Linked DNA regions of Tamandua tetradactyla. The protein of the gene in region 1 binds, or shares a complex with, the protein of each later gene. Links are inferred from orthologs where the notes say so. Each region holds a gene or a part of one and is shown on either strand. Other genes may lie near its edges.

What was found.
Region 2: the proteins of KATNB1 (region 1) and KATNA1 are in contact, whole or in part, in a crystal structure (PDB 5OW5), measured with the Mus musculus proteins. The link is inferred for Tamandua tetradactyla from reciprocal best matches to the Homo sapiens genes KATNB1 and KATNA1. Residues at the interface, in NP_083081.2 of Mus musculus: Leu485, Val486, Asp487, Glu488, Ala490, Met491, Gln493, Ile494, Arg495, Gly497, His498, Met501, Phe502, Val504, Leu505, Thr506, Arg508, His509, Leu512, Asp513, Val515, Arg516, Trp519, Thr521, Asp542, Leu543, Ile546, Gln549, Lys550, Leu553; in NP_035965.2 of Mus musculus: Leu5, Gln6, Ile8, Val9, Val12, Arg16, Ala19, Leu20, Leu21, Gly22, Tyr24, Tyr31, Tyr41, Leu50, Lys53, Trp54, Gln56, Val57, Glu60, Ile61, Val63, Glu64, Gln67, Val68, Asp70, Ile71, Thr74, Leu75, Ser77, Phe78.

What each region holds. Positions count from the first base shown.
Region 1 is NC_135342.1:51,443,519-51,459,485, reverse strand, and holds the start of KATNB1 (katanin p80 WD40 repeat-containing subunit B1), read right to left. Parts: upstream 7,792-15,967; 5' UTR 7,521-7,791; intron 7,402-7,520; exon of another isoform or gene 7,368-7,401; intron 7,126-7,367; exon of another isoform or gene 6,938-7,125; intron 6,841-6,937; exon of another isoform or gene 6,818-6,840; intron 5,861-6,817; 5' UTR 5,602-5,860; coding exon 5,562-5,601; intron 1,382-5,561; coding exon 1,251-1,381; intron 1-1,250.
Region 2 is NC_135328.1:141,149,992-141,166,705, forward strand, and holds the start of KATNA1 (katanin p60 ATPase-containing subunit A1), read right to left. Parts: upstream 8,327-16,714; 5' UTR 8,012-8,326; intron 8,008-8,011; exon of another isoform or gene 7,964-8,007; intron 7,901-7,963; exon of another isoform or gene 7,876-7,900; intron 6,849-7,875; exon of another isoform or gene 6,742-6,848; intron 1-6,741. UniProt on the Homo sapiens protein: Catalytic subunit of a complex which severs microtubules in an ATP-dependent manner. Microtubule severing may promote rapid reorganization of cellular microtubule arrays and the release of microtubules from the centrosome following nucleation.

The DNA.
Region 1 (15,967 bases):
CCAGGTTCTACTTCTGTCCAGTGGTCACTGGGGAAGTCCGGCTACTGGGCTGACAACACTGAGGATGGCTAACACCCACTGAGAATGTTCTAAGGGTGGGACTAGACTTTTGAATATTTCCTTGCAATTGGGGCCAGGATCACCTACTGAAGCAGCAGCTTCATAGGCTTGCCATGGAAGAAAAAAATCCATTATCACTACCCACTTTCTTTATCATGACCTTTATTAGGTCAAGTGTGAACACATCCTCGGGGTGGGGGTGAAAATGTAAATTCATTTCTGGAGGGCGATTTGGCGATGTTTTGAAAGCCTTTGGAAAAGTACACACCCTCAGATTTAAGGCCAATGATCATAGATCTGCTTAGAGATGTAGGTAGAGGACGTTGTTAGCAAATATGGTCCAGCAGAACCAAAAAACTGGAAACAATTTCCACGTGACAGCAGGGCGTGGCTAAGCCAGTTAGGGCTCATCCCGACAATGGGATACCACAAAGCCATTAAACATCACATTGGAACAGAGTATTTGTTGACACAAGAAAATGTTCATAGCATTATTTAAAAACAAATGAGGCCACGAGAATGTAAGAGAGTGTTCTGGGGATATACTTTTATATATTTACCTGTGTGTGCGTGGATATAAGTTGCATGCACAGGTGAGTAGACAGGCATCAGCATCCAGAAGAATGCACACCAAAACACCAACTCTGGTGGTCTTTAGATAATGGAACTATATGCAATGAATTTTTGTTTTGCTTCCATTATGCTTTTCTGTTTTCCAGGTTTGTTTTGTGGCACTGAATACATCTTACTTGTGAAATGAAGGAGGAGATGCTATCAAAGAATGAGCTCTTTAACCAGTCCCTCAAATCCTTTTTGTGAAATGAGGTGAGGAAATGCATCGATAGTCTAAATGCCCATGTACAGCTGATGGGGACAGGTGGGCAGGGGAGCAGGGGAGGGCTTCACTCTTGTGGCTCCTCCACTATGGACTGTGGGCTTATCCTAACCTTCTCAGGCAGATTTCCTGGGGTTCTGTCCCACTTCTGGGTGACTCCCCATTCCTAGCCATCCTGGGTTGTCCTCCTTGAGCAGACAGCTGACTGAGGCACTGATGCTGTGCTATGTCCTCCCTAATTCCTGGCTGGGCCCAGGGTTGGGACATCCTGGGCGTAACAGAGCCTGCAAAGCCACCTGCTCCCCAGCCCTGGTCCCCGAACTTCCTGCCCCACACCCCACCAGCTGAGGCTCACCATGATGCAGTTGGGCTTGTTGATGGACCACAGGTTGACCCGGCAATCATCCCCGCCTGTAGCCAGCAGCCGCCCGGAGGCTTTGCCCAGCACCAGTGAAGACACATTGCTGGCATGGGCGACGATCTCCTCTGCATACCAAAGGGAGAGGGGGGCACAGTCAGGGGCCTCGGGGGACCATGCAGAGGAGTGGCAGCACCTTGCTGGGTTCCGCCAGCAGGAGGTACCTGCCCCTCTTCATCCCATTCAACCCCTCCTCAGTTGCTGGGGGACGCGCTGACAGGGCAGATCTTGGGCCTAAGTTGGAAATTTCTGTTTCTTAACTTCAGTCCTTCCTGACATAACTTAGACCTCATGCTTTTTTCCTTTTTGTGTCCATCAACTATAATATTAGTGACTTACTAATTTTTTAATTGACTTGCTATTTTTGCTTAGCTTTGTCTTAAGTAACAGTATCTGTGAAGTTACAAGTTTGATGTGTTCATTATACTTTTTCTACCACACAAAAAGAAAGCTGAAAAAAAAAACATTAAAAAATACTGACCTAAGCCTCTCAGATGCCATTCATTGGCTTTTGAATCTTGCTCTGGGAAAGAGACTTTAAGCATCATTCAACTCAGTGGTAGACAAGCTGTGACCAGGCAAGTTCACACTTGATGCTCGTGTGAGCTTGGATGAATCACTCATCCTGTGTGTGCCAGTGTCCTCCTCTGTTAAATGGGGACAGTAACAGTGCCTATCTCCCCAGATTGCTGTGGATTCACTAAGAATGTGCACAAGAGAAGGTACTCCATAGTCACAGACAAGCTGAGGACTTGTCACCAAGAGGGCTAATAGGCACTGGGCCCCTGGCAGGCACAGGGGGTTAGGCTGCATGAGCAGGAGGGCAGGAGGCAACAGACAAAGAGGTCTGAGGGTGAGAACTGACCAGGCCGAGCAGAAGATGAGGCCTTGGGGGAAACCACAAGGGGCCCTGGCATGGCCTGGGGAAAGGGGGGACAGCCTGAAATCTCAGGACCTCACCAAGGCTCTGAAGGGAACAAGGCATGGGCAAGGCGGGCCAGCCAGGCCCAGAGGGAATCTTCTTTTTTTTTTTTTCACATGGGCAGGCACCGAGAATCGAACCCGGGTCCTCTAGCATGGCAGGCAAGCATTCTTGCCTGCTGAGCCACCGTGGCCCACCCATCCCCAGAGGGAATTTTTACTGGGAACAAGGAAGACAAATCAGGTCTCTCCACATAGGGGAAAGCCCCAATGTGCTGACACCCAGGGGTAGCTGGGAGGCTGGCTGGTGTAACAGTGAGGGGAAGGTGTGGCAGCTGTTCCTCCCAGGGCCTTTCTGGCATCCCAGCTCCGTACTACCCCCTGCTTCAGACTGCAAGGAGGTTGAGAAACTCGACCTGGGACAGCTGCTTGCTAGGCAGCCTGGCTTGGAGGCTATGGAAAATGCCTGGGGAACCAGGCCCCAGATCTGACATCACAGATGACACCCCACCTCAGGGCCTAGCAACCCAGATCTGGCCACGGGCAGCACCAAGCCCCAGCCATAGGTCAGCCAGGTTTCAGAGACCCTGCCATTTGGTCCAAGGGAGCTGATTCCCTTGTACAGTCTCTACTGTGACCCACAGAGCCTTTTGTCTTCTTAAAAGTTTCTGCAGGGCCAAAGTGGCCACCTAATTCAGAGAGAGGGCAAACCGCCTTCTCACTGAGTTCCCTGCTACCACGCCTCAAGCCTTTCCCCTTCTCGGAAGCCACTCACCTACACAATACCGTTCCTCCATGACTGACCTAGAGGCCTGAGTATGTCCACCCTGGCTCTCACTCTTTCCAGGGAAATTCCTGCCTGGGACTTTTTCTCGCTGGACCTCCTTGGGCATAATGCTGCCCCTCTCTGGACCACAGGACCACTGCCCAGGAGACAGCCATTAGTTGATAATATAAACATTCCTGGGTGCCTCCTATGGGCCTAGCATTGGGAGACAGTGGGAATGAGAGAGCAAAGGTCCCTGCTTTCATGACACAGGTTATCAGATGGCTCCTGGGACAGGGCACCCAGTTCACAGAACCACAGATTTTAAGGTACGAAGAATTTGGAGGTTGAGTCTTTCTCAAACGGCCCAGACCACTACCCTCTAAGCAGCCTAACCAGCGACTGATTTGATGCCCATGGAAGGACCTGCGGGCACACCACAGATGCCAGGGAGAGGAGGCCCTAACACAGGACACTAGCCTGGTCTGAAGAACAGCAACCAGCGGTGGCCCAGGCCCCACACTGAATTTTAATACAAACAAATAAAATCCCCACAGGGTCTATTAGTGGCCCAGGTTGACGGCCATTGCTTCACACAGTGGTATAGGCCCACACATTTCCCAAATCCAGGTGACATAGTCTAGGTCCCACATCTCAGCCACAGCTGAGGAGCACTGTGTTTTGGCCAGAGATAATGAGGCCCTGCAATCCAAATTGAATTCAATGCTTCAATGAGCCCACACTGGCCAAGCACTCTCTTATCCTTAGCAGACCGCAGAGACACTGAGTCAGAGGTCATTTGCCCTTGGGCTCTTCAGAAAGTTTATACCCATGAAAACTGCTATGCAAATAAAATTTCAGCAGATGTCCAATATGTTTGACCATATTTAAACATGTATGCTTTGACTTTGCTTTAAGAGAAAGCAAAAGCCTCAGAAAGGCTGGGCCCCGTGGATGTGTGCCCTTGCAGACCTCGCCAGCCTCATATGGCACCATGTCCCCCAACCCCCATGGCTGTACTCCTTCTGGCCTTTCCAAGGCACTGAGCTTCCTGCCTCAGGGCCTTTACACATACTGTTCAGGCAGCTGACACCACTTGTCCATCTTGTTAACTGACTCAAAGCACATGTCCCAGCTTGGAATCAGATGAGATGGATGTGTCTGGTTATTTGACTCCCTGCCCCTCTCTCCATGCTCCAGGCTCCAGGCTCCCACTACACAGGCCTTGTTTCCACTGGCTCCCCAGTATCTGGCTGTGTTAGGGAAGCCCTGATGATTGAAGGGTCAGATACGTAATCCTGACAAGTGAAAAAACTATCTGTCCAAAGTGTACCCTCCTGCGAGGCCCAGAACAAGATTTGCGCCAAATCCTTAAGCTTTGGGGAGCAATCTATAAATGACCTAAACCTCTCATTTTACAAATGAGGAAACTAAGGCCCAGTAAAGAGCTTTGCTCAGGTGTGTGGTTAAAAGGTAGAGCCTTTCCCTGTGTCCTACTCTCCTTTCCTGCCCTGTAAGATAACGGGGAGGCTCTCAGGCTTTGTAAGGATATCAGGGCTCACGTGATGCTCCTGAAAACAGCCCAGAGACAGCTCACAGCATCACCCAGTGCTTGCTGGGCCTGGAGAGGGTGGTCAGGTTGGGCACTCCAAATCTCTGCTAGGCAGTTATTATGGGTGGGCCCACAGAGGTGCAAATGTATACAGTAGTAGCTCTCAAAGCCTGATGTGGGTCCTTTGGGGTCCTCAAACCCCTTTCAGAGGCTCATGAGGATAAACTATTTTCATACTACTACTAAGGTGTTATTTGCCTTTTGTATTGTCATTCCCTCATGAGCCTACACAGTGAAGTTTTCCAGAGCACACATGATAAATGATAAATGTTGTCTCTGTCACTAGTGGCATGTGATTGTGATTTTCAATTCCTCAGTGGTAATTTCTCACTAGTATGGTAAACATTGCTAGATATAACCCACATAAACAAAAGCTGTTTGGGATCCTTATTAATTTTTAAGAGCATAAAGGAGTTTGAGAACTGCTGGTACAGCGGAATATTAGGGGTGGGTGGACATGGCTGTTACATTCCAGAGCCCTGCCAGCAACCCCCTGCCCACCACACTATTCTCTTCTTGGCTAATCACCCCAAGCTGCCTTGACTTGGGAAATGTCTAAAAATGTCCAAGAACATTGTTCAGGATTTCTCAACCCTTCCTACTTTTCCTAACTGGAAATCCTTGGGTCCCTGAGAAAAGCAACTATCCTAATGAAGTACCTTCTAAGGGTTAGTCCTCACACTTAGTTCTTTATGCTTATTATCTCACTTGAACCTCACAACAAGTCTAGAATGCAGGTTTGATTCTCTCATTTACAGGTGAGGAAACTGAGCCCCAAAAAGGTTAAGTCACTTTTTCCAGTATCAGCCAGTCACAATCTGCATCTGATCTACTTATGCTAAGGCCTGAGGGTCTTTCCCCGGGCCAAGAAGAGCAGATGATGCAGCAGGTTTGAGCCACCCGGCAATAAAGGTCAAAGGGGTGAGAAAGGAGAAAGACAACTACTCACGCAGCTTCCAGGCTGTCTTGGTGACCACAGGGGTGGCCATCCTTCAGTGCCTGGCACCTGGAGCCCTACCCGTGAAACAGACCGTGCTGTTCTTATTGGGTGGGGGTAGCTCCCCCCCAGATCCGCGAATTAAGTTGGCAGGGAATTCCCATACATCCAGAGGGAATGTCTCAGCTCCCGGCTCAATGCCTCGTGGTTTTAAGCCATACACACAGCAATGACAACAGCAGCCTGTGAGCACTTGTTTGGATCCTGGATCACAGAATGTCAGGCTTGAGTCATCTTGGCTCAACACTGGGCTGGAATACAAACAGAGGAGGTGGCTTGTTAGGAAACACTCAGTGGGAGCTCAGTATGGGTGAACCCAGGATTGCAGAGGGGCAGAGCGACTAGAGCCAGGAACTGCACCACAAATTGGGTTTGAGAATCTGCACATCAGGCAGGGTGACTGGGAACACAGGGGAAAAAGAAGGTCCTCCCCGAGGCCAGGATGATGGGAGGTGGCTGTGCTCTAGGATGCTGGCTGCCGGAAGTGTAGCAGCCTCAGCTGGGCAGGGAAGACCACATGCCTGCAGTTTAGATAGATTTCTGGGAGTCATGGTTCTGCCTGACGTCTGGGAAAGTGGGTGGAGTCCAAGGCTAAGCTTTGCAGGGGCCCATGAGAGGCACCCCAGAGACAGGCATTGTGGCCCCTTCTAGGGAGGATCTTGGAAGACAGCCCTGATGATCCAACCTCCCAGTTCATGGCAAGGGAATCACGCCTACTTCCTGTAATTCCCAAGGACAGTGCTGGGGGTCGCGGGGTGGGGGTAGACCTCCAGGCACTGAACCTGAAAAAGACTCCTCAACTCTTAAAAGGGGACGTCTGGGGGCCTACTACCATCTCCCTCACAGCCACCTCACCTCTTTCCCACGAGGCCTCTCTCAACCCGCTTGCTTCTGGGGCTCCAGTACCGCCTCCCTAGCCCTCCGTTCCCTTCCCGGCTGTCCGTATCTCCCATTCCTGTACATGTGGTCTCCTGGGCCCCCTAACTTGGCCCCTGCCTCGCCAGGGCTCCTTTATTTTTCTGTCCCCTTTGCTATCAGCATTTCCCATTCATTCTCTCGCTTGCTTCTTTGGTGCCCGTTCATTACCTATCTTCCTGCGGAACCCCAGCTCTACCTCCGGACTCCCTGGCTTTTCCCTCCGGCCTGCACGCCGGCCCCGCTACTTCCTAGGCTGGGGCTGGTCCCTCTGCCTCGCCTGATCCTCCTACCCCTCTGAGCTTGCCGAGCATGGGCTCCAGCCTCCCACCGCCCGGGCCCCCGTCCGCCACCGTCCGGCCTGGCCCGGCCCCGCCTCGCTTGGCCCAGCCCCAGGCCCATCATCCCCTCGCCTCCTCGCCTCCTCGCCTCCTCGCCCGCTCGCCGGCTGGCTCACTCCACCTGCAGCTGCGGCTCGGGAAGATGAGGCACTGCTCCAGGCGCGACCCCCACTTGCCTCCATCCCCTATCCTGATTGGCCGCTGCTTGACAACCGACCCTCACAACAAAACCTCCGGGCCAGAGCCCCGCCCTCCGCCCATCCTGCACCAATCATCCGCCGCGCGCGCTCCACCTCCCGGCAGGTGTGACCAATCGAAGCAGGCGCTTCTGCCGCTTTTCCTAAATGCCCGCCTTCTTTCCCTGAATTGGACTAATCACGAGGAAGGAGCGTTCAAGAGCCGCCCCTCTGCCTCTAATGAACCAATGTGGGAGCTCATTCCCTTGGTCCCGCCTCCGCCGCAAGCTTTCTCTTCCCTCCCCCTTTCCTTCGCGGCTTCAAACCTAATTTGCCTTGAACGCTCTGCGAGACGCCCTCCAATGGCGGCTGCGCCAAAACCCAAATAGTTTGACCAATCATTGTCCGCATTATTGGAAAAACCAGTTCCCAACTAACCAATGGGAAGGGGACTTTGGGAGTAGCGTGAAGCCTCGGACCTTCCATCTTGGAGTGGGGCGAAACGGGATCCTGGCCTTAGTCAGCATTTTGTCCTGGCGCCTGTTTCTTCCTGGAGCCCTCAGGAGGTATCTGCATAGTCTGAGGGCTTTGCCTTCCCTTTTCTGACCCGGACTCCGGCTTGAATAAATCCCCGGTAGCGGGATGGGGACAGAGTCTGATTCCGGGTCCGAGTCAGGTGCGGAGGGTCGAAGTGCGGCCCCCGCCACCGCCGGGGCCGGGGGAAGGGATGATAGGGGCAAGTGGCTGCACCCTTCAGAGGACAACAGACTAGAATCCGAGAGAGGCCGACTTCATTTGTGACTCCTTAGGTGGGGCGGGGTTCGAGAAGGATCCGGGGCGCTTAGGAGGAACTTGGCCCCACAAGCCTGTGTCGCGTGGCTGGCCCCATCTGAGTTGAGAGGGTGGCCCAGTCGTCCGGGGCTCAGCGCCTTAAGACCCTCGAACCTCCGCGTTAATCCTTCTGTTGCTGCAGATAGGGTCTGTTTGCGCTCACACAACAACCCTAAGGAGTAGGGATTCCTGTTTGCACTCTCAGATGGGCAAACAGGTCCAGGTTAAGGTCCTTATAAAAGGCCACTTGACCGAAATGTAATGGCGTCAGGGTTTGAACCACCGTATTGCACTTCACCGTCTCTGCCAAAGATTTTTGGTTCTACCTCTCCCATTGTACTCAGACCTTGGGAGCGAGAATGGTTCCTATTAAAAGAGGACTGTATGAACAGAATCACGTTCTATCAAAACCGTCTGTCTTGCATTTCCCCTCAACCTTTAAAAAATTTTTTTTTGTTGATAAGCAACATACAACACAAACATTCGTAATTATACAGACGTTCCACACATGATGTACAATCAGTGGCTCACAATACCATTACATAGTAGTATATTCATCACCATGATCATTTTGTAGAAGATTTGCATCACTCCAGGAAGAGGAAAAAATTCATACATTACATGCTCCTTATCCTTCCCTCTCAGGGACTACTAGTGTTTCCATGTACCCAATATATTTTAGCCTTTGTGGCCAAGTGGTGGTACCTGTTTGTCTGGTTGGGCAAGTGCTGGCCTGTCTGTTGCTGTGAGGACATTTCATAGAATTAAATCATGACCACATCAGCTGCATCCACAGTTGATTACATTTGTAATCAGCGAAGAGAAATGTCTTCTGCCATGAGTGATACTTAATCTAATCACTGGAAGCCTTTTAAGGAGGATTCAGAAGAGACAGGCTTTCTTACTGCTTTGGCTGGTGAGCCTCTCTTGTGGAGTTTGTCCAGACCCTCCATCGGAATTGTCAGATTTTGGACTCTACGTTCCCTACAGATTTTGGGCTCTACGTTCCCACGGTTACGTGAGACACTTATAAGTTTTATATTTACGAATATTTTCTGTTGATTCTGTTTCTCTAGAGAACCCTAACTAATACAACTTGGTACCAGGAATGGTTCTTAAGAAACAGAACCTTAAAAATGGGTTTTTATGAATGGTTTTCTACCCTGACTGGACTCAAAGGGACTAAGAACTCTGAGTCCCATAATCAGAATGACACTGCCAATCCATGGAGTGAATTGGCAAAAGAGATAGTCAAAATATCACCATACGATTCTTCTGGTGCTTCGGCTGTACAAAGCCAGGCTCTGGAGGATAATGATTTTGACACCTTTATGGAGTTTTGTAGAAATAGGAGGCATAGAGATGTTGGCTAGTTGTTGTTAGATACACTGGATACATTAAGGAGTGAAAGGGATGGGCTTAAGGTTTCAAGTGAGAAGCTTAAGCACCATCTGACAGATGTAGAAGTTTCTATGAGTGTCCTGAAGGAAAATCTTATTTCCTGTAGGCGTAGACTTGAGATCTCTAAAAATCAGACTCAGAATCTTATTGTTAGAGTAGCAGCTTTACAACCTAAACTGAAATCTCAATCTTGTATGGTGTCTGATATTAAAGTGAGGGCATTGATTGGAAAGGAGTGGGACACTGAAAAATGGGATGGCGACATATGGATTGATAATCATGTCAGTGGTGAGTTAGAAACCCTAGGTTATGCTGAGTCTTATCTAGATAACCCTGTAATAGTCTTCCCTGAGGACATGGCCGCCCCACCTCCAGCTTGTTTTGAGGAGTTGGCCACTCAGCCTCCACCTGAAGGGATTAGCCCTAGAGTGATTAATCCTGTTTCATCAGATGAAACGGCGAATGAATGCCCTGAAGCAAATGGCTTGGAAGATATTTCTAATTCTTTTCATGACCCACCTCACCAACCCTCATTTCTTCCAGACCTGTAACTAGACTAAAGTCCCAAGAGGCCCCTAAAGGTGAGGTACAAAGTGTCGCACATGAGGAGGTACGTTATACTCCAAAAGAACTGTGTAAGTTTTCCAGTTTGCATAGGCAGAAATCAGGGGAATATGTGTCCAATGGATTTTAAGGGTGTGGGATAATGGTGGGAGGAATATAAGGCTGGATCAGGCTGAATTTATTGATATGGGCCCACTAAGTGGAGATTCTGCCTTCAGTGTTATAGCTAGAGGGGTGTTCTAGTTTGCTGGAATGCAATATACCAGGGATAGAATGCCTTCTTAAAAGGGGAATTTAATAAGTTGCTAGTTTACAGTTCTAAGGCTGAGAAAATGTTCCGATTAAAACAAGTCTATAGAAATGTCCAATCAAAGGCATTCAGGGAAAGATTGGTTCAAGGAGGCCAATAAAGTTCAAGGTTTCTCTCTCACGTGAGAAGGCACATGGTGAACACAGTAACAGTTTCTCTCTCAGCTGGAAGGGCACATGGTGAGCATGGCATCATCTGCTAGCTCTCTCTCCTGGCTTCCTGTTTCGTGAAGCTCCCTGGGAGACATTTTCCTTCTTCAACTCCAAAGTGCTGGCTAGTGGACTCTCTGCTTCGTGGTGCTGCAGCATTCTCTGCTGTCTGAATCTCTTTCATTCTCCAAAATGTTTCCTCTTTTATAGGACTCCAGAAGCTTATCAAGACCCACCCAGATGGGTGGAGACATGTCATCACCTAATCCAGTTTAACAACCACTCTTGATTAAAACACATTTCATCTGATTATAGTGTCAAACATGCAGTACTGTATAGGGATTATTCTGCCTTTATGGAATAGGATTTAGATTAAAACATGGCTTTTCTAGGGGACATACATCCTTTCAAACCAGCACAAGGGGTTAGAAAAGGCATTAACAGTTTGTTTGGATAGTTGGTCGAACATGGATCAAAAGGTGGCTGACATTACCTGAGGTTGAAGTGCCAGGACTGCCCTGGTATAATGTAGATGAGGGGATCCAGAGGCTTAGACAGTTTGGAATGTTAGAGTGAATTTATCATGCAAAGCCTGCTCGTACACCCCAGAAATGTCTGGAGGATGCACCTTTTACCAGAACAGTGAGAAATAAATTTGTGAGACTAGTGCCATCATCTCTGAAGAGCTCAATAGTACCATTTCTCTGTAGGTCAGATATTACTGTGGACACTGCTGTCACTGAGCTGGAATCCTTAAACACAATGAGGATGACTGGATCCCGAGTTGGCAGAAGCCAGGTGGCAGCACTTAATCGCCAAAGACAGGTGGACATGGCTATTATAATAGACAGCAAACTCAAAGCAGGAGTCGAAATAATCTGACTCACATAGATCTGTGCCATTGGCTAGTAAATCATGGGGTACCTAGAAATGCAATAGATGGTCAGTCTACTAAATTCTTGTTTGAGCTGTATAAATAAAAGAGTTCTAGGTCAAGTGAACAGAAGCCTAACCTGAATTACAAAAACACAGAGTCACAGCCCCTTAAGCAATTACCAGACTTGAGACAGTTTACAGACCCAGAGCCCCATGAATGAAGGGGAGGCCAGGTTTCTTTGGGGGAGAACCCTGTTACACTGACACAAATTTATGCTGTTAATCTTCCTCCAAACCTTCCCCAAGGAGACCGATGGCCTTTTACCAGGGTAGGTGTGCATTGGGGAAAAGGAAATGATCAGATATTTCGGGGATTGTTAGAACACTGGTTCAGAAGTGACATTAATTCCAGGGGACCCAAAACATCACTCTGGTCTACCAGTCAGAGTGGGGGCTTATGGAGGCCAGGTGATTGATGGAGTTTTATCTCAAGTCCATCTCACAGTGGGTCCAGTGGGCCCCCGGACCCATTCTGTAGTTATTTCCCTAGTTCCAGAATGTATAATTGGAATAGACCTTCTGAGCAACTGGCAGAATCCCCACATTGGCTCTCTAACTCGTGCAATGAGGGTTATTGTGGTGGGAAGGGCCAAGTGGAAGCCACTATAACTGCCCCTACCTAACAAAATAGTAAATCAGAAGCAGTACCAGATTCCTGGAGGGATTGCAGAAATTACTGCCACTCTTAAGGATTTGAAGGATGCAGGGGGGTGATTCTCACCACATCCCCATTCAACTCTCCTATTTGGCCTGTGCAAAAAACAGATGGGTCTTGGAGGATGACAGTGGATTATTGTAAGCTCAACCAGATGGTAACTCCAATTGCAGCTGCTGTTCCCGATATGGTATCATTGCTTGAGCAAATCAGTACATCCTCTGGTACCTAGTATGCAGCTACTGATCTGGCAAATGCTTTTTTCTCAATAGCTGTTAGTAAGGACCACCAGAAACACTTTGCTTTCAGCTGTCAATGTCAGCAATATACTTTCACTGTCCTACCTCAGGGGTATATCAACTCTCCAGCCCTATGTCATAATCTTGTCCACAGGGACCTTGATCATTTCTCCCTCCCACAAGACATCGCACTGGTCCATTATATTGATGATATCACGTTGATTGGACCTAGTGAGCAAGAAGTAGCAACTACTTGAGACTTATTGGTAAGGCATTTGCATGTCAGAGGATGGGAGATATATCCAACAAAAATACAGGGGCTTTCCACCTCAGTGAAATCTCTAGGTGTTCTAAGTTGCTAGCTGCTGGAATGCAATATACCAGAAATGAAATGGCTTTTAAAAGGGGGGATTTAATAAATTGCTAGTTTATAGTTCTAAGGCCGAGAAAATGTCCCAGTTAAAACAAGTCTATAGAAATGTCCAATCAAAGGCATCCATGCAGGGAAAGATAACTTGGTTCAAGAAGGCCAATGAAGTTCAGGGTTTCTCTCTCAAGTGAGAAGGCACATGGTGAACACAGTCAGGGCGTCTCTCTCGTTTGGAAAGGCACATGGTGAACATGGTGTCATCTGCTAGCTTCTTCTGGCTTCCTGTTCCATGAAGCTCCCCGGGAGGCATTTTCCTTCTTCATCTCCAAAGGTCACTGGCTGGTGGACTCTGCTTCTTGTGGCTATGTTATTCTGCTTTGCCTTCTCTGAATCTCTCATTCTCCAAAATGTTTCCTCTTTTATAGGACTCCAGGAACTTATCAAGACCCACCCAAATGGAGGAGAGATACCTCCAGCTAATTCAGTTTAAAAAACACTCTTGATTGAATCTCATCTCCAGGGAGATGATCTGATTACAGTTTCAAACATACAGTATTGAATAGGGGTTATTCTACCTTTATGAAATGGGGTTTAGATTAAAACATGGCTTTTCTAAGGGACATACATCCTTTCAAACCAGCACAAGGGGTTAGAAAAGGCATTAATTGTTTGGATAGTTGGTTGAACTTGGATCAAAAGGTGGCTGACATTACCTGAGGTTGAAGTGCCAGGACTGCCCTGGTATAACGTAGATGAGGGGATCCAGAGGCTTAGAGAGTTTGGAATGTTAGATGGATTTTTATAAGCTTGGGAGTGGGTCTTGATAAGCTTCTGGAGTCCTATAAAAGAGGAAATGTCCAGTGGTGTGGGGCATGTCGAGATATCCCTTCTAAGGTGAAGGATAAATCACTGCATCTGACCCCTCCTACGATCAAAAAAGAGGCACAATGCCTAGTTGGTCTCTTTGGATTTTGGAGAGAACATATTCCTCATTTAGGTGTGCTACTCTGGCCCATTTATCTAGTGACCAGAAAAGCTGCTAATTTTGAGTGGGGACCTGAACCAAGAGGAGGCTCTGCAACAGCTCCAAGCTGTTGTACAAACTGCTCTGCCACTTGGACCATATGATCCAGCAGATCCAATGGTGCTGGAAGTGTCAGTTGCAAATAGAGATGCTGTCTGGAGCCTTTGGCAGGCCCCTATAGGGGAATCACAACGCAGACCCTTAGGATTTTGGAGCAAAGCCTTACCATCTGCTGCAGATAATTACTCTCCTTTTGAGAAACAGCTTTTGGCCTGCTATTGGGCCTTAGTAGAGACTGAATGCTAAAACCATGGGCCACCAAGTTACGATACCTGAGTTGCCTATCATGAGCTGTGTGTTGTCTGACCCACCAAGCCATATGGCGTGTGCAGGAGCACTCTATTGTAAAATGGAAATGGTATATACAAGATAGGGCCAGAGCAGGTCTTGAAGGCACAAGTAAGTTACACGAAGGAGTGGCCCAAACACCCGTGGTCTCCACTCCTGCCATATTATCTTCTCTTTCCCAGACCAGAGCTATGGCCTCTTGGGGAGTTCCTTACAGTGAATTGACTGAGGAAGAGAAAACTCGGGCCTGGTTTACAGATGGTTCAGCATGATATACAGGTACCACCCAAAGTGGACAGCTGCAGCATTCTACCCCCTTTCTGTGGTGTTCTTGAAGGACAGTGGTGAGGCAAAATCTTCCCTTTGGGCGGAACTTCGAGCAGTGCTCCTGGTTGTTCATTTTGCTTGGAAGGAAAACTGGCCAGAGGTGCATTTCTCTGACTCATGGGCTGTTGCTAATGGTTTGGCTGGATGGTCAGGGACTTGGAAAGACCATAATTGGAAAATTGGTGACAAAGAGGTCTGGGGAAGAAGTATGTGGATAGACCTTTCTGAGTGGGCTAAAAACATGAAGATATTTGTGTACCATGTGAATGTGCACTAGAGGGTAACTTCAGCAAAGGAAGATTTAATAATCAAGTGGATATGATGACCCGTTCTGTGGATACCTGTCAGCCTCTTTCCCCAGCAATTCCTGTCATTGCCCAATGGGCTTATGAACAAAGTGGTCATGGTGGTAGGGATGGAGGTTATGCATGGGCTCAGTAACATGGACTTTTGTTCACCAAGGCTGAGCTGGCTACAGCCACTACTGAGTGTACAATCTGACAGCAGCAAAGACCACACTCAGCCCCTGATATGGCACCATTCCCCGAGGTGACCAGCCGGCTACATGGTGGCAGGTTGATTACATTGCTCCCTTCATGGAAGGGGCAATGATTCGTTCTAACTGGAATAGACACATACTCTGGATATGGGTTTACTTTCCTTGCACGCAATGCTTCTGCCAAAACTACCATCCGTGAGCTTACAGAATGCCTTATCCATCGTCATAGTATTCCTTACAGCTTTGCTTCTGATCAGGGACCACACTTAACAGCAAATGAAGTGCAGGAATGGGCACATGCTCATGAAATTCTCTGGTCTTATCATGTTCCCCATCATCCAGAAGCAGCTAGATTGATAGAATGGTGGAATGGCCTTTTGAAGATTCAATTACAGTTCCATCTAGGTGGCAGTACCTTGAAGGGCTGGGGTAATGTTCTCCAGGAAGCTGTATATGCTGTCAATCAGCGTCTGCTGTATGGTGTTATTTCTCCCATAGCCAGGATCCACGGGTCCAGGATCCAAGGGGTGGAAATGGGAGTGGCACCACTCACTATTACCCCTAGTGATCCTTTAGGAAAAGTTTTGCTTCCTGTTCCTGTGATCCTGAGCTCTGCTAGTCTACAGGTTTTAGTTCCAAAAGGGGGAGTGCTTCCACCAGGAGAAACAACAATGATTCCATTGAACGGAATCTAAGACTGCCACCTGGTCACTTTGGGGTACTCATGCCCCTGGATCAACAAGCCAAGAAGGGGATGTGCTAGTTTGAAAGGATGTATGTCCCCTAAAAAAGCAATGTTTTAATCAAGATCCCATTTCATAAAGGTGGAATAATCCCCATTCAATACTGTATGTAATTAGATCATCTCCTTGGAGATGGAACCCAATCAAGCATGGTGGTTAAACTGGATTGAGGGGAATGTGTCTCCACCCGTTTGGGTGGGTCTTGATTAGTTTCTGAAGTCCTATAAAAGAGGAAACATTTTAGAGAATGAGAGATTCAGAGAGAGCAGAGAAGAACAACATAGCCACAAGAAGCAGGGAGCAGTGACCTTTGGAGATGAAGAATTAAAACACCTCCTGGGGAGCTTCACAAAACAGGAAGCCAGGAGAGAAAGCTAGCAGATGACGTGGTGTTCGCCACATGCCTTTCCAGATGAGAGAGAAGCCTTCGCTCTGTTCGCCATGTGTCTTCTCTCTTGAGAGAGAGACCCTGAACTTCATCAGCCTTCTTGAACCAAGGTATCTTACCCTGAATGCCTTAGATTGGACAT
Region 2 (16,714 bases), on another chromosome or scaffold:
ACACCATATCAACAAATCAAAGCAGAAAAATCACATGATCATCTCAATTGATGCAGAGAAGGCATTTGACAAGATTCAACATCCTTTCCTGTTGAAAACACTTCAAAAGATAGGACTACAAGGGAACTTCCTTAAAATGATAGAGGGAATATATGAAAAACCCACAGCTAATATCACCCTCAATGGGGAAAAATTGAAAACTTTCCCCCTAAGATCAGGAACAAGACACGGATGCCCACTATCACCACTATTATTCAACACTGTGTTGGAGGTTCAAGCCAGAGCAATTAGACAAGAAAAAGAAATACAAGGCATCAAAATTGGAAAGGAAGAAGTAAAACTATCACTGTTTGCAGACGATATGATACTATACGTCGAAAACCCGGAAAAATCCACAACAAAACTACTAGAGCTAATAAATGAGTACAGCAAAGTGGCAGGTTACAAGATCAACATTCAAAAATCTGTAGCATTTCTATACACTAGTAATGAACAAGCTGAGGGGGAAATCAAGAAACGAATCCCATTTACAATTGCAACTAAAAGAATAAAATACCTAGGAATAAATTTAACTAAAGAGACAAAAAACCTATATAAAGAAAACTACAAGAAACTGTTAAAAGAAATCACAGAAGACCTAAACAGATGGAAGGGCATACTGTGTTCATGGATTGGAAGACTAAATATAGTTAAGATGTCAATCCTACCTAAATTGATTTACAGATTCAATGCAATACCAATCAAACTTATTTTTCAGAAATAGAAAAACCAATAAGCAAATTTATCTGGAAGGGCAGGGTGCCCCGAATTGCTAAAAACATCTTGAGGAAAAAAAACGAAGCTGGAGGTCTCGCGCTGCCGGACTTTAAGGCATATTATGAAGCCACAGTGGTCAAAACAGCATGGTATTGGCATAAAGATAGATATATCGACCAATGGAATCGAATAGAGTGCTCAGATATAGACCCTCTCATCTATGGACATTTGATCTTTGATAAGGCAGTCAAGCCAACTCACCTGGAACAGAACAGTCTCTTCTAAATGGCGCCTAGAGAACTGGATATCCATATGCAAAAGAATGAAAGAAGACCCATATCTCACACCCTATACAAAAGTTAACTCAAAATGGATCAAAGATCTAAACATTAGGTCTAAGACCATAAAACAGTTAGAGGAAAATGTTGGGAGATAGCTTATGAAACTTACAATTGCAGGCGGTTTTATGGACCTTAATCCTAAAGCAAGAGCACTGAAGAAGGAAATAAATAAATGGGAGCTCCTCAAAATTAAACACTTTTGTGCATCAAAGAACTTCATCAAGAAAGTAGAAAGACAACCTACACAATGGGAGACAATATTTGGAAATGGCATATCAGATAAAGGTCTAGTATCTAGAATTTATAAAGAGATTGTTCAACTCAACAACAAAAAGACAGCCAACCCAATTACAAAATGGGAAATAGACTTGAACAGACACCTACCAGAAGAGGAAATACGGATGGCCAAAAGGCACATGAAGAGATGCTCAATGTCCCTGGCCATTAGAGCAATGCAAATCAAAACCACAATGAGATATCATCTCACACCCACCAGAATGGCCATTATCAACAAAACAGAAAATGACAAGTGCTGGAGAGGATGCGGAGAAAGAGGCACACTTATCCACTGTTGGTGGGAATGTCAAATGGTGCAGCCACTGTGGAAGGCAGTGTGGCGGTTCCTCAAAAAGCTGAATACAGAATTGCCATATGACCCAGCAATACCGTTGCTCGGTATCTACTCAAAGGACTTAAGGGCAAAGACACAAACGGACATTTGCACACCAATGTTTATAGCAGCATTATTTACAATTGCAAAGAGATGGAAACAGCCAAAATGTCCATCAACAGAAGAGTGGCTAAACAAACTGTGGTATATACATACGATGGAATATTATGCAGCTTTAAGACAGGATAAACTTATGAAGCATGTAATAACATGGATGGACCTAGAGAACATTATGCTGAGTGAGTCTAGCCAAAAACTAAAGGACAAATACTGTATGGTGCCACTGATCTGAACCGACATTCGAGAATAAACTTGGAATATGTCATTGGTAACAGAGTCCAGCAGGAGTTAGAAACAGGGTAAGATAATGGGTAATTGGAGCTGAAGGGATACAGACTGTGCAACAGGACTAGATACAAAAACTCAAAAATGGACAGCACAATAATACCTAATTGTAAAGTAATCATGTTAAAACACTGAATGAAGCTGCATCTGAGCTATAGGTTTTTTTTTTTTACTATTATTATTACTTTTATTTTTTTCTCTATATTAACATTCTATATCTTTTTCTGTTGTGTTGCTAATTCTTCTAAACCGATGCAAATGTACTAAGAAACGATGATCATACAGCTATGTGATGATGTTAAGAATTACTGATTGCATATGTAGAATGGTATGATTTCTAAATGTTGGGTTAATTTCTTTTTTTCCGTTAATTAATAAAAAAAAAAAAAACATATGGAAATGGGCCGTGCAACAGTGGCTCTGTGGCAGAATTTTCACCTGCCATGCCGGAGACCCAGGTTCAATTTCTGGATCAAAAGAAAAACCACATGCAAACACAGACAAAGAGAAAAAACATATACACACACCGAAATCAAGACAAGTTTATCTCAGGAATGCAAGGGTGAATTAATATAAGAAAACCCATCCTTGTAACTCCTCACACTAATGGACAACAGGACTTTTACACAAAAAAAGGTAAAGCATAAAGTGCAATTCACAAAGAAAGGAAAACCCAAATAGCTAACAAGTATAGACACTGGGAATTTATTAATCTAAATCAAAGCAGTGAGATCCCTTTTTTACATTTACCAGGTTAAAAAAAAAAAGTCTAATGATAAGTATTGTCAAGTTCTGAGCAGAAAAGGAAACCCTCACATAGAATCTGTGAGTACAAACTGTTAGAGTCATGTTAAGAGTGCAATTTGTCAGTATTTAGGGAAATTATGCATATACTCTATGACTCAGCAATCCTACTCTTCTGTCAATATTCTAAAGTCTCACACAGATTAATAAAGGAATTTATATTTGGATGCTAATGACAAAACTATTAGAAAAATCAAGGAGTTGGAGGCAATTTAACTATATTCCCTGCTAGGGGAATAGACAAGAAAATATGGTAGATGCATACTATTGAATACAACGTAGCGGACGGAAGGAATGAACAATTTACAAATAGCAACATGGAGAGATTATCAAAATAAAGGATTGGATGTAAAAAATATTAGAACAAGATCTAAATCTCAGTATCATTTTATAAATTAAAAATGAATATGCTATATAAAACACTCCTTTTTTAAGGATGCTATGTACCCAACAACATATATTAAATATATGAGTGTCTATGGGGGAAAGTGAGTGAAGAAAGCAAACTGGGAGGGATGGTGACAAAAAAAAAATACAGGAGAAGGGCCTTATATCCATAGATAATGACAAGGAGCTTCTAGGATGTCTTTCAATGAGCCTCGACTTCTGGTTTTTATCTTGAATGTGGGCATCTAACATTTGAAACATGAAAAATAATGAATTGTCATTTCTAAGATTAATTTGTGCTCACCCTCTCTGGCTGGCATGCTCTAAGACCAACTAACATGTTGCGAGCTGTTCTGCACAAAGACTCACATGGCACAGAACTGAGGGAGGCCTCAGGCCAATAACCAGTGAGAAACTGAGGTATTCACTCCAAAAGCCCATGAGGAACTGAATCCTATCAACAACCATGTGAGTGAGCTTGGAAGCAGATCCTCCCCAGTTGAGCCTTGAGACAACTACAGCACTTGCTTACAGCCTTGTGGGAGACCCTGAGTCAGAGACACCCAGCAAGTCTTGCCCAGATTCCTGACCCAACAAACTATGAGATAATAAATATTTGTTGTTTAAGCCATGAAATTTGGGTCTAATTGGTAAGTAGCAATAATATTAACTGAGTTCCATAATAACTCAAGTCTGGCATCTGAGGTCCAAAACAAAAAGAAAAAATTCCCATAGGCTACATAGTGCCTCCCTGGAGTCCTGGACAATGACAAATACTCCATTAGAATAAAAACTTCATGGTCAGGGACCATGTCTTTCTATTATTCACTGTTCTAGCCCAGCTTGGCATAGAATCATGCTGCGCATACAGCAGATACTCAATAAATTTGTGAGTGAATAAATACTTTTTAAGTTTTTGTCTTAAACTAAGACTTCTTACCTTTCTCCATTTCCTCTCAGCATTCTCACATTCCTTGATCCTCAACTCATCTCCCAAAAAGCTGGATTATGGCTTCACTCCTGCATAATTAGTTCTGCCCTGAAGTCATCATGCCCTACAGTGACACCTAGTTTCAGAAACAGTATTCGAAGCATATAAATGGGGCCAGATGCTGATCTGGATGGGCTTGGATATTAGGCCTCTCAAGTCTTTTCTCCCTCTTCCTCTTTGCTTAAGAGACTCTCTCCATATACTTCTCTCCTTTCCCCACGTTTAAAAACAAAAAATCCACTTAATTAAATTGTGATAAACAGATGGTTCTCAGGTTTTTTGTTTGAAAGCCACAGATCAATGGCCCCAAAGGCACTTCAAGTTTTCTTCAAAGGTTCTATGTTATGAATTTCTCTTTCTTGCTGGATAAATCCTTAGACAATTGACATTTTCTAACAAATGAAAATGTAAAGTCAATCCAAGGCCATATAATCAACTGACCTGAAAAATTACTGGTTGTAAAAGTAACAATGTGTCTCCTGAAAATAATCACAAAGCACCCTTAGTTCCCAAATGTTAGCCAAAAATAATTTTCCGTATTCCTTTAGTAGCCTCTACCCCAAGACATCCTTCTCAAATGAATATCAACACTGTAAATTTATGCAATTCTCCTATGAATAAGAATATGTCCTTACATCCATAAAATTACACCACAGGACAAAAATGGGCCTAACGAGCACAATACCTCCCAATATATGAAGAAATGAACATGTTTAAAGAAAAGTTGATAAACCAAATTTTAACCACCATGAACTGTAAACATTAGCTATTGGTTCAACATTAATAGTACACATAAAAAATTGTATTTCCAAAAATTTAGATTAGTGATTACAAAAATTAGGGAGAAAAAACCCACACACTATGCCCACTTTATCATACAGCAAGCTGTTCTTTACCATATTCAATAAGAACCACCCTTTTTGCTTATATACCTTGAGGATTTATGATTTAGCTAATTACTACTTTCATTTAAACTAAACAAGATGCAAAACAATTTTAATTAAGGTAGCAGTCAAATTTCTATAATTAAGTACTAAGGACTCAATTTTACAGCAAAATTTCTAACAAATGTGATATGTGATGTCATGTGGGTCTCCAAAATGAGACTTAAAATGCTTTTTTCTCCTCTAGGACTGGGAATAAGTGATTAAAGAGACTGAAAAAGAACACAGAACAGATCAAACTACTCAAGTTCTAAGATTCACATTCTCTCTTAAAACAACAAATGTAAGGCCCTCCCCTATTTCATATCCAAAAAGGATAATATACCCACTTAATTTTCTATGGAATCTTAGGCCAAGTTCCACTTATCCACCAGTTTTTATCATAATGTGTATACGTCATTCATTCAAGAAATATTTAAGGAGCACCAACTGAGTTGCAAGAAATTGCACTTAAGACAAAAATAAATAAGAAAGAATTAAACCTTGAAATCTTGAAGGTTAGTGGAAGGGAGATTATTTACTCTAGGTGTTCTTTTTTTTTGCTTAGTAAAAAGGAGAACATTACTAAACACAGGCTGAAGAGATAACATCAATGTTGGAAGCTTGAAATGTTTTTAAAATATTTAAACCTGTTTTCCTGAAACAAAAACATATCATTAAACTCAATCTTGCATCTTCCCGAAGGCACTTCGGGAAGGCACTTGGTTCAGTAAACCAAGTGTGTAATTTTAAAAGAGGCAATTCGCTGGTGAGAAATTTTCAGAATGTTCATCTCTGGGATATGAAAGCAACCATAAGGTAATGTAAATTCAATCTAATGACTAAATAAGCACAATAAATGAATGGCTCATGACCCATTGTAACGTCACACATTTTTCTTACCTTTATATCAAATGATAAATTACTCAAGCATGAGCAAATTATTACTACTAAAAAAGCATCAAAAGGAAACCTGGTCAGAAAACAAAATTACATATTAAGTCTACTATGTATGTATTTGATAAATTTTCCTGCAAAAGAAGGACAACTGATAATTTCCAGTTTACCTTGAACAAAATAAAAATAAATCAATGAGTGGAGAATTTAAAATGTAATTTAAAAGTCACAACAGGGCGGGCCGCGGTGGCTCAGCGGGCAAAGTGCTTGCCTGCTATGCCGGAGGACCTCGGTTCGATTCCCGGCCCCAGCCCATGTAACAAAAAACGGAGAAACAGAATACAATAAAACAAGAAAATGTTTAAAAATGTTTCCCTTTCTTCCTTCCTTCCTTCCTTCTATCCTTCCTTCCTTCTCTCTGTCTTTCCTTTAAAAAAAAAAAAAAAAAAAAAAAAAAAAAAAAAGTCACAACAATAAGTGCCACAAGCAAAATCTATTTAACACCTTATCAACTCTGATCATTTTGGTTTCACAGGCTATTTTTTTTAAACAGCTGAGAAGCTAAAACAAAACAAAACAAAACAATAAATGCACACACTGTTGTAAAAAGCAAGTCAACATTCTCTAATCCTCGATTCGGCAGCACATATACTAAAATTGGAACCATTCAGAGAAGATTAGCATGGCCCCTGAGCAAGGATGACACGCAAATTCCTGAAGCATTCCATATTTTTGAAATAAAGAAAAAAAATTCTCTAATCCTCAGTATGTCAGAATAGAAAAAAATTTTCAAAGAAAGATGCAGACTTTGACGTTATCTTACATAGAATGCCTTAGTATTGACTCTGTAATTGTAAAAGCTTCTTGAATAACCAACCCCACAAAGAAGTTTAACATAGCTTTTCATAATCTAGGAATACTGAAAAGTAGATAGGCACTGTCTTTTTTTTTAAAGGCACGGTATGTGTCACAAAATAGCACTGTTAATACAAGACAAAGAGTTCTGTCGCTATTTCTTTGTGTACGGACTCACTGATTACAAAAACCACATCCACTGGAAAATGAAACAGAACTGCGTTCTGACACATTTAGGGCAGTATGAACACTACGAGAAACTTTCTTGACTCCATAGCGTTCTATCATCGTGACTGCGTGGAAAAGGTCCATGGCCCACATTCTTCAAGAATGTTTCAAGAGTAACTAAGAGACTGATTTCAAAGAGGAAAACATAAAACAGTTCTTCAATAAGAAGGGTGTATCACGGTGCTGTAAGAAATTAGTAATTTATAAAAGTGGCACTTCGCAGTTAAATAAGGGAGCTATTTTTTTTATTAAATAGAGTTTAAGATTATCCATTAGAACGCACATAAAGATCCATGTTTATCCCTAACTTCGTCACCATATAATATGCTGAATGAAACAGTATTTTGATGTGTAAGTTTTGTAAAAGGTACCCAACTCTAAACAAAAAGTCATTAGCCTCCCTGAGGAAGACCGGCTCTAGAACGAACTAAATAACACCCTCAACAATATTGCACAGATATCACAAAATGTAAGAACGGACGCTGAATTCCAGTGTCAAGACTTTCAAGGGAACGGATACGAGCGAGGACCAATCAAAACAATGAGGGAATAATGACAGGTTCTCTCGGCCAGGGACGCCTCTACAGACACAGGTCCACAGGTGGGAGCCGCAGGAATTCCCGAAAGCGCCCTGGATCTCGTCCTGGATGGACGAGATTCCTTAGACAGGAGCCTCACCTGAGCTACAGGTGTCGGCAACAAAAGCGAGTACCCGCGCCCCTGCGCGGGCGCCGCAGTTGACGACAGAGTGCGCGGCGGTACCCACCTCCGCTCCCGGCCTGCCCTCAGGACTGTCCGGAGACCCGGCACTCACCTGTAAGGCGGCTCCGAACTACACCGCCCACCGCCAACCGTCGGGGCAGGTCCAACCGGGCTCCCGTCGACGAAGGAGGCACCCGGCCCCACCGCCCGCGCTGGAACCCGCACTGCCCACTCCAACTGCCGCCACCCCCAACCGCTACTGGAGCACGCCGAGAAATTGACGGCGAACACGCCACGGTCACTTCCGGCCCCGATGGCAGCGGTGACGACTCCAACGCACGCGAAGCAACGCCTTGGGAACAGAGGCACCTGGAGACGTGTGCGCGCCGGTGAAGCGCGAGAACCGTGAAGAGAGGGATGGGCCAGTAGACGTACGCGCGCTTGCGTAGGACGCAGACTGCGCGGGACTAGACGGCCGGCGGTTGGGCGGGACCGGCAGGGGCGAGATGGTGAGGTGCGTCTGCGCAATCTCGTACCTCTTCCTCCAGGCTGAAGCTGGAAGCCCGAGACCCGGCTCGGAGGCGGAGCGCTGGGCAGTAGTCCTAAAGGGTAAGTGCTTTAGGGATAGAAGCCTGTCCTGAGCGAACGAGGGTTTATGAGAAGTCATGCTTTAGAGCCAGTTCTCAGGATTCCCGGGCTAGGGCCCTTGTTGCAGGGGCTACAGGGGTGCCAACATAGACCTTCGCACAGCCTGTTTCAGAATTTTAATTTTCTTCCTTGCTTGTCCTTATGTAATGGTTTTACAACAACACAATAGGATTTAGAGACACCGTGTACTCGGCAATGCTGCTGCCTTCCTTCAGCTTCAAATTCCACACACCATCCCTATCTTAAACGAATAGGGCACTTACCCTTTAGGAGTACATGGTGCTTAAGTTTCTATTAAAGGATTGCAGTAATTTAATATAGATTTGTATAGAAGCAATTCACAGGAAATGCATCCATTTATTCCGCAAATATTTACTGAACCAATACTATGCCAGACATATTAGGCACTGGTTACGCTGTTAAAAAAAAAAAAAAAAAAAAAGGAAAAATTCCTGGGGGCTAAAGTCTTGAAAAATTCTCAGATAAGTAGAAAATAATAGTTTTGTTATGCTGGGTATGAAGGCTATTATACTAAAGCACAGGAAACTATATCTAGTATGTCTTTATAATAAAAAAAATTCAGGGAGGTATAGATTAATTACCCTAATTAGGCTGGATTCAACCTTCACTTTTTATATGAATGCAGAGGTAGGCTAATTTATAATGCCAATTTATAATCTCAAAATTTCTCTAACGGTAAAGAATGGATACATATAGTATGATTCCATTTATATAAAATGATAGAACAACCAACACTGTACTAACGGAAAGTAAATGAGTAGTTGTGCCTGGGGTTGAATTGAGAAGTTGGAGTGGGCGGTAAAGATTGACTGAAAAGAGGCATGAGGAAGCCTCTGAGATGCCTTGATTAAGGTAGTGGCTACACAACCATTAGTATTTATTAAAATTTATTGTCTATATTTTAGAACTTCACCTACTCTTTGAGACCAAAGGGAGAGAAGTTTTTGTCCAGAACCTAAATTTTATGTAGCACATAATCTAACTCAACCCAGTCTAGATAGTTCATTTAAATAATCAAAACACAGGGAGCCCAGAATAAAATGAGGTCCTTTAATCCGGTATAGCTTAATGTGATACCTGGATATGTCCCAGAATATATTAAGCAGATAATCAGAAAGTATTGGTGAAGTCCCTTGAGGGATGGGAAAAAATATGAAACTATTAAACTTTACTACTGAGGAAATCCCTGATACTGTGTCAAAGATTAGGGATACTAAAATCAATAGGCCAAGCTCTTGATCTTCAGGCTTACTCTTCTGAAGCTTATGTAGGTAGTGAAGAAGCTTTGACTATGTATAGGCATGCCCAAGAGTTACTTCTGGAGGACCTCTTTTGTTGCTCAGATGTGGCCTCAGTCTTTCTAAGCCCAACTCTGCAAGTGAAATCATTGCCCTCCTCCCTATGTGGGACATGACATTCATGGGTGAAAATCTTCCTGGCAGCATGGGAGATGACCCACAGGGATGAGCCTTGCCCTGGCACCATGGGATCAACAATGCCATCCTGACCAAAAGGGGGAAAAGAAGTGTAACAAAGTATCAATGGCTGAGAGTGTTAAAATTGTCAAGAGGCTGCTCTTATGCAAATTTCAGTTAGACATTGCTACCTATCATGACTTGCCAACCCCCAACCAAAACCATTCCAGCCAATCCTAAAGAACACCTAGGGTAATATATAAGATTCTACAAAAATTCCATGCCCTAGGATAACTTTCTGAAAACCTACAACGTCCAAATGGGTCCCTGGAGCAGATAAGTCCTGAAACCTACAGAGGCCAGCCTTTCCAGAACATCAGCTAATTCTATCTCCCTACCCCTTATTATTGACAAGCCTTCCAATGTGAAAAAATTAGAATGAGCATAGGCCAAATATCCTTAAAAAGTGGGAGAAAGATCAAAGGTGATGGGGGAGTTACACAGAGAAGGTAGGGTTTAATAAAGGAGTATGATTGCTGAATCATTATATTTCTTTTAGTCTCCATTATCTTAGAGCAGCTAGAAGTAAAAACCTAAAATTGTGGAATTGTAACCCATACCAGACTCTGAAATCTGTTCTATAATTAATTCTTGTGCTGTGCTTTGACATTTATTGCTTTTTTGTATGTATGTTATTTTTACAAAAGAGAAAGAAAAAAGTGATAATAAAAAAATATATATTTCTTCTAGCCAATGTTCTGGAATAGCTAGAAGGAAAAATCTGAGATGATGGTATGGTAGCTCATGACAAACTCTGGGATCTGTCCTGTAACTATTTATTAAAGAGTGCTTTGAAAACTATTGCTTTTTTCTTTCTTTGTTTTGTATATATATTATACAATAAAAAAGTTTAAAAAACCTCATCTACACAGTACATATAAACTATTTTATGTAAATTATACCTCATTATTGGTTTTTGAGGTTAAAAAAAAAACCTTCTCCACAGAGTGCCTTACATTCAGTACTTCCTTTTCTTCATTAGTTGTACTGCTCAGGGAAGGCAAGGCTCTGCTGTAGCAACCCCTAAATTGAAGATTTCAAAAAACAGGATTTTTTTTTTCTCATTCATTCTAAATGTCAACAAAAGATGGGATGTAGGCATTGGGACCTGTGGTAGTGGAAAACAGAGAATTAGATAATTGTAGAGCTTCTGCTTGGATGTGACACAAGCCACTCTGCTCACATTTCATTGACCAGAGAAAGTCATGTGGCCAAGCTTAAATTCAGAGGGATAGGGATGTTCAACTCTACAGTGTGTTGTGAAGGGAAAACAATATTTGTGTACCACCCTTATTGGTTGGAAGATTCACACTTCCTAGTTTTAAAACTTATTACACAGTTAACAGTAATCACAAGAGCATGGTACAAATAGACCAATGGAATCAAATTGAGAGTTCAGAAATAAACATTCACATCTATGGCCAACTGATTTTTAACAAGGGTGCTAAGCCTGCTTAACTGGGAAAGAATAGTCTCTTCATCTGATGGTACTGGGAAACCTGGAAATCCGTATTCAAAAGAATGAAGCTGGACCCCTAACCTTACCCTATATACAAAAATCAACTAAAACTGGATCAAAGACCTAAATGTAACAATCAAAACTATAAAAAGCTGTGGTAGTTGAAATTGCATGTACCCGTTTTTAGTTTGTTAATGTTGCCAGAATGCAATATACCAGAAATGGAATGGCTTTTAAAAATGGCATTTATTAGGTTACAAATTTGCAGTTTTAAGGGCATTAAATGTCCAAACTAAGGTGTCCAGAAAAAGATACCTTGACTCAAGGAAAGATGATGTCTGCCATGTGGAAAGGCATGTGGCTGGTGACTGTGGTCCTTGTTCCCAGTTCCTTTGCTTCCAGATTCTGATTCCAGTGCTTTCTTCTCTAAGTGTCTATGGGCCTTTATTTAGTTCCTCCAGGTCACAACTCTGGGTTCATAGCAATGTCTGCTGAGCTCTGCATCTCCAGACATCTATGTCTAGGCACCTCTCTCTGTCAACATCTTCCAAATGTCTGCATCTCTGTCAGCTCTGAAACAATGGTGTTTTCTCCAAAATGTCTTCCCTTTTAAAGGACTCCAGTAAACTAATCAAGACCTCACCTTGAATCAAAAGACCACACTTACAATTGGGCATGTCATATCTCCAGGGAGTAATCTAATCAAAAGGTCATACCACAAATGAGTGGGTCAATTTCCATGGAAACAATCTAATCAAAGATTTCCACCCTATAATATTGAATCAGGATTAAAGGACATGGCCTTTTGGGGGTGCATTTTCAAACCAGCACAACTCCATATAAAAAGCTATGGTGTTTGAAATTGCAGGTGCCCAAGAAAGCACGTTCTTAAAATTTAATTCATTCCTGTGGATTAATGATGACATTACTTCAGAGTGTGTCCTAACCCAATAGGATGGGTCTTAAATAATAGTCTTATTACTAGAGTCCTTTATAAGTGGAGTGAAATTCAGTCTGAGAGAAATCTATATAAGCAAGAAGTTAAAATTAAACAGAACCCCCAAAAGAACAAAGAGTCCAGGAGAGGCCAACATGCCCCTTGTCATGTGACACAGGATCAAAGATCACCAGCAGCCAGCCCTAGAATGCCACAGTCTTCAGAAAGAAAACATCATCTCAATGATGCCTTGATTTGGACTTTTTCCCAGCCTCAAACTGTGAGTGAATAATTTCCTATTGTTTAAACCCAGCCATTTCATGGTATTTTCTTGAGCAGCCTAGGAAATTAAAACAAAAGCCTAGAAAAAAAAAAAAAAAGGGAAGTATCCAGATGGTCTCTGGACCAAGTAAGTCCCAAAATGCAGGGACCAGCCTCTCCAGAACATCAACTAGTTCCATCCCCCTATTCCATATCATGATAGCCCCTTCCAACATGAAAAAGTTAGAATGGACATAGGCCAAATGTCCCTAAAGAGTGAAAGAAAGATCAAAGGTGGTGGTAGAGTTATACAGAGAAGTTAGGGCTTAACAAATGAATAGGACTGCTGATAATTCTTTTATTCTCTAGTACCTTAGAGCAGCTAGAAGTCAAAACCTAAAATTGTGGAGTTGTAGTCCATACAAAACTCTGAAATCTGTTCTACAACTAATTGCATTTTTGCATGTGTAATTTTTCACAAAAAGACTAGGAGGAGTATAACACAAATAGGATTTAACAAATGAGTATGACTACTGAATCATTACATTGATATTTATTTTGGTTTTCAGTGACTTGGAGCAACTAGAAGAAAAAACAAAGAATTGTGGAACTGTAACCCATGCTAAACTTTAAACTCTGTTCTATAACTACTTGTTAAAATATATTTGGATCATGATGATGAATATGCAACTATGTGATGATACTGTGAATTACTGATTATATATGTAGAACAGAATGATCAAAAAAGGAATGTTTGATGTTTTTTTGGTATTTAAAAAAATAAAATAAAAAGAAAAAAATGTATTTGGAAATTCATTGCTTTTTTGTATATATGTTAAATCCCACAATAAGAAAAAGTTAAAAAAGAACCTTGGATTATAATTTAAAATAAATTATTCAAAAAATAAATAAATAAAATATAGTATTCAAGTGAACAAATATGAACAAGCCAAATATGAGTTAAAATTTTTTAATCAGTGATATTCATACATACCTGCCCTAAATATACAGGCCCACTCTTAGGATGAACAAAGGATTACCCTAGAGCTTCTGTTTTGTTTTGTCATTTCATTGTTTTGATAACTGAGAGCAGTTTGACTTCCAATTACTTTGAAGTATTTGTTTTCCTGCCTAGGTTATAAGGGAGTTACATGAAAATACCTTGTAAGTCCCCCCACCCCTCCAAAAATTGATACAGTTTGGCGAAAGGGAATAGTTGGAAGATTTTTTGCTATTACAGACGGAATTTTTAAGGGTTTTAGCCATTTTTAGCCTGAAGGTCTTAGCACTGCTGAGATTACTTAAGTTATGTCAAGGCCATTGATTAGTTTACCTATCAACTAAAGCATGAAAATTTGTATTTGGGGTAACTTTTATTGCACTTGAAAAAGATATGCTATTTGTTTGCTCAAGCTGCCTGAATGTAGTATACTAGAAATGGGTTGGCTTTTACAATGGGCAGTTATTAGTTTACAAATGTACATATTCTGTTCTGGTCATTGTAGGTAATGTGTAGTAACTTATCAGTCTGGATAGGGGATTGGGGGTGGAGGGAGCCTGGGCCCTATGTCTCCACCGCATGTATACTTTTATATTTTGTAAAAATGAGGCCATTACTGTACATACTATTCTACAATCTGTTTTTTCAGTCAAGTTGCATTTCCTCTGATTTAATAATCACAAATTTATCTAATAGACTCATCAATGTCCTTCACAGCTGGTTTGCCAAAACCAATATCTATTCCAGGATTCAACATAGTTCTGGCTGTTGAGTCTCTTTTGTTATTGTTGGTGGTGGTTGTTTATTTGCTGTTAGTGTTTGTTTTCATAACACTGACTTGTTAAAGAGACCATGTTGTTGTCCTCAATATCCTATTTTCTGGATTTGTTTCCCTGCTCTATCATTTATCATGCTTATTTATCTCCTATATTTCTAATAAACTGGAAATTATATATAAAGTTTCAGTGGATTCACTTAAACAACAGCAAAAACTGATCAATGACCTAAACGTATGGACTAAACTATAAAACTTTTAGAAGAAAACATAAATGTTAATAATGTCAGGAGCTTGTAATAGGTAAGGGATTTTTAAACTTTAATATTCAGAATTTGTTAATTAGTTCCACAATTGGCATTTGATTGTGCCCAGTCCCTGCTGCTGGTAAAGTCCTTTACTTTCCCCTCTGGGAAGTGGCCTGTGGGGGAGGGGTGCTGGCCGCCGCAGCTTTGGGAACTCACGGTTCTGGGGGGTGCTCGCAGCCAGTCCAACTGGTCCAGACTGGGGTACACTGTGTGTCCGGTCACTATCGTGGCTCCAGGAGTTGTTCTGTACTGTTTCTGGTTATTTAGTAGTTGTTCTGGAGGACGAGCTAAAATGCGCACGTTGTTAAGCCGCCATCTTGACCCGCAAGTCTCCCAAGTGGAGAATTCTTGATATTCTCACAAGCAGTGGGGACAACCAAAGCAATAGGCTGAGCCCTCACTCTTGGGGTTTGTTCATATAAAACTTAACCCTGCAAAGGATAGGCTAAGCCTACTTAAAATCAGGCCTAAGAGTCATCCCCATAGAACCTCTTTTGTTGCACAGATATGGCCTCTCTCTCTCTCAGCCAACATGACAAGCAAGCTTACTGCCCTCCCCCTCTCTATGTGAGACTTGACTCCTGGGGTGTCGACCTTCCTGGAAACGTGGAACAGAAATCCTAGAATGAGCTGGGACTCAATATCAAGGGATTAAGAAAACCTTCTCAACTAAAAGGGGGAAGAGTGAAATGAGACTAAATAAAGTGTCAATGGCTAAGAGATTCCAAACAGAGTTGAGAGGTTATCCTGGAGGTTATTCTTATGCATTAAATAGATATCACCTTTTCAGTTAAGGCGTAATGAAGAGGCTATAAGGAACTTCCTGAAAATGTAGACCTGTGTTTAGTAGCCATGTTTCTTGAAGAAGATTGTATAATGATAAAGCTTTCACAAAGAGACAGTGTGATTGTGAACACCTTGTGTCTGATACTCCTTTTATCTACCTTATCAACAGCTTAATAAAACACATTGATTAAAAATAAATAATAAGTGGAATGTGCTGGTTTGAAAGGATGTATGTACCCTAGAAACCCATGTTTTAAAGCTAATCCCATTTTGTAAAGGCAGCCATTTCTTCTAATCCCTATTCAGTACTGTATGTCTGTATGTTTGAAACTGTAATTAGGTCATCTCCCTGGAGATGTGACTCAATCAAGAGTGGTTCTTAAACTGGATTAGGTGGAAACATGTCTCCACCCATTTGGGTGGGTCTTGATTATTTTACTGTAATCCTGTAAAAGAGAATGGCAAGAGAGAAAGCAAGGACATTCAGAGAGAGCAGAGAATGCTGCAGCACCACGAAGTGCAGAGTCCACCAGCCAGTGCTTTGGAGATGCAGAAGGAAAATGCCTCTCAAGGAGCTTCATGAACAGGAAGCCAGGAGAGGAAGCTAGCAGATGATGCCTGTTCACCATGTGTCCTTCTAGCTGAGAGAGAAACCCTGACCGTGTTTGCCATCTGTCGTCTCACTTGAGAGAGAAACCCTGAACTTCATCGGCCTTCTTGAACCAAGGTATCTTTCCCTGGATGCCTTTCATTGGACATTTCTATAGATTTGCTTTAATTGGGACATTTTCTCAGTTTTAGAACTGTAAACTAGCAACTTTATTAAATCCCCCTTTTAAAAGCTGTTCTGTTTGTGGTATATTGCATTCTGGCAGCTAGCAAACTAGAACAGGAAACAAATATTGAAATAAATTTAGTAGATTGAAATGCTAGTGATCAATGAAAAGGAAGGGTAAGGGGTATGGTATGTATGAAATTTTTTGTGTTTTCTTTTTATTTCTTTTTCTGAATTGATGCAAATGTCCTCAGAAATGATCATGATAATGAATATACAAGTATGTGATGATACTGTGAGTTATTGATTATATATCAAGAATGGAATGATCAACAAACAAGGGGAGAGAGGGCCAAGATGGTGGCTTAGC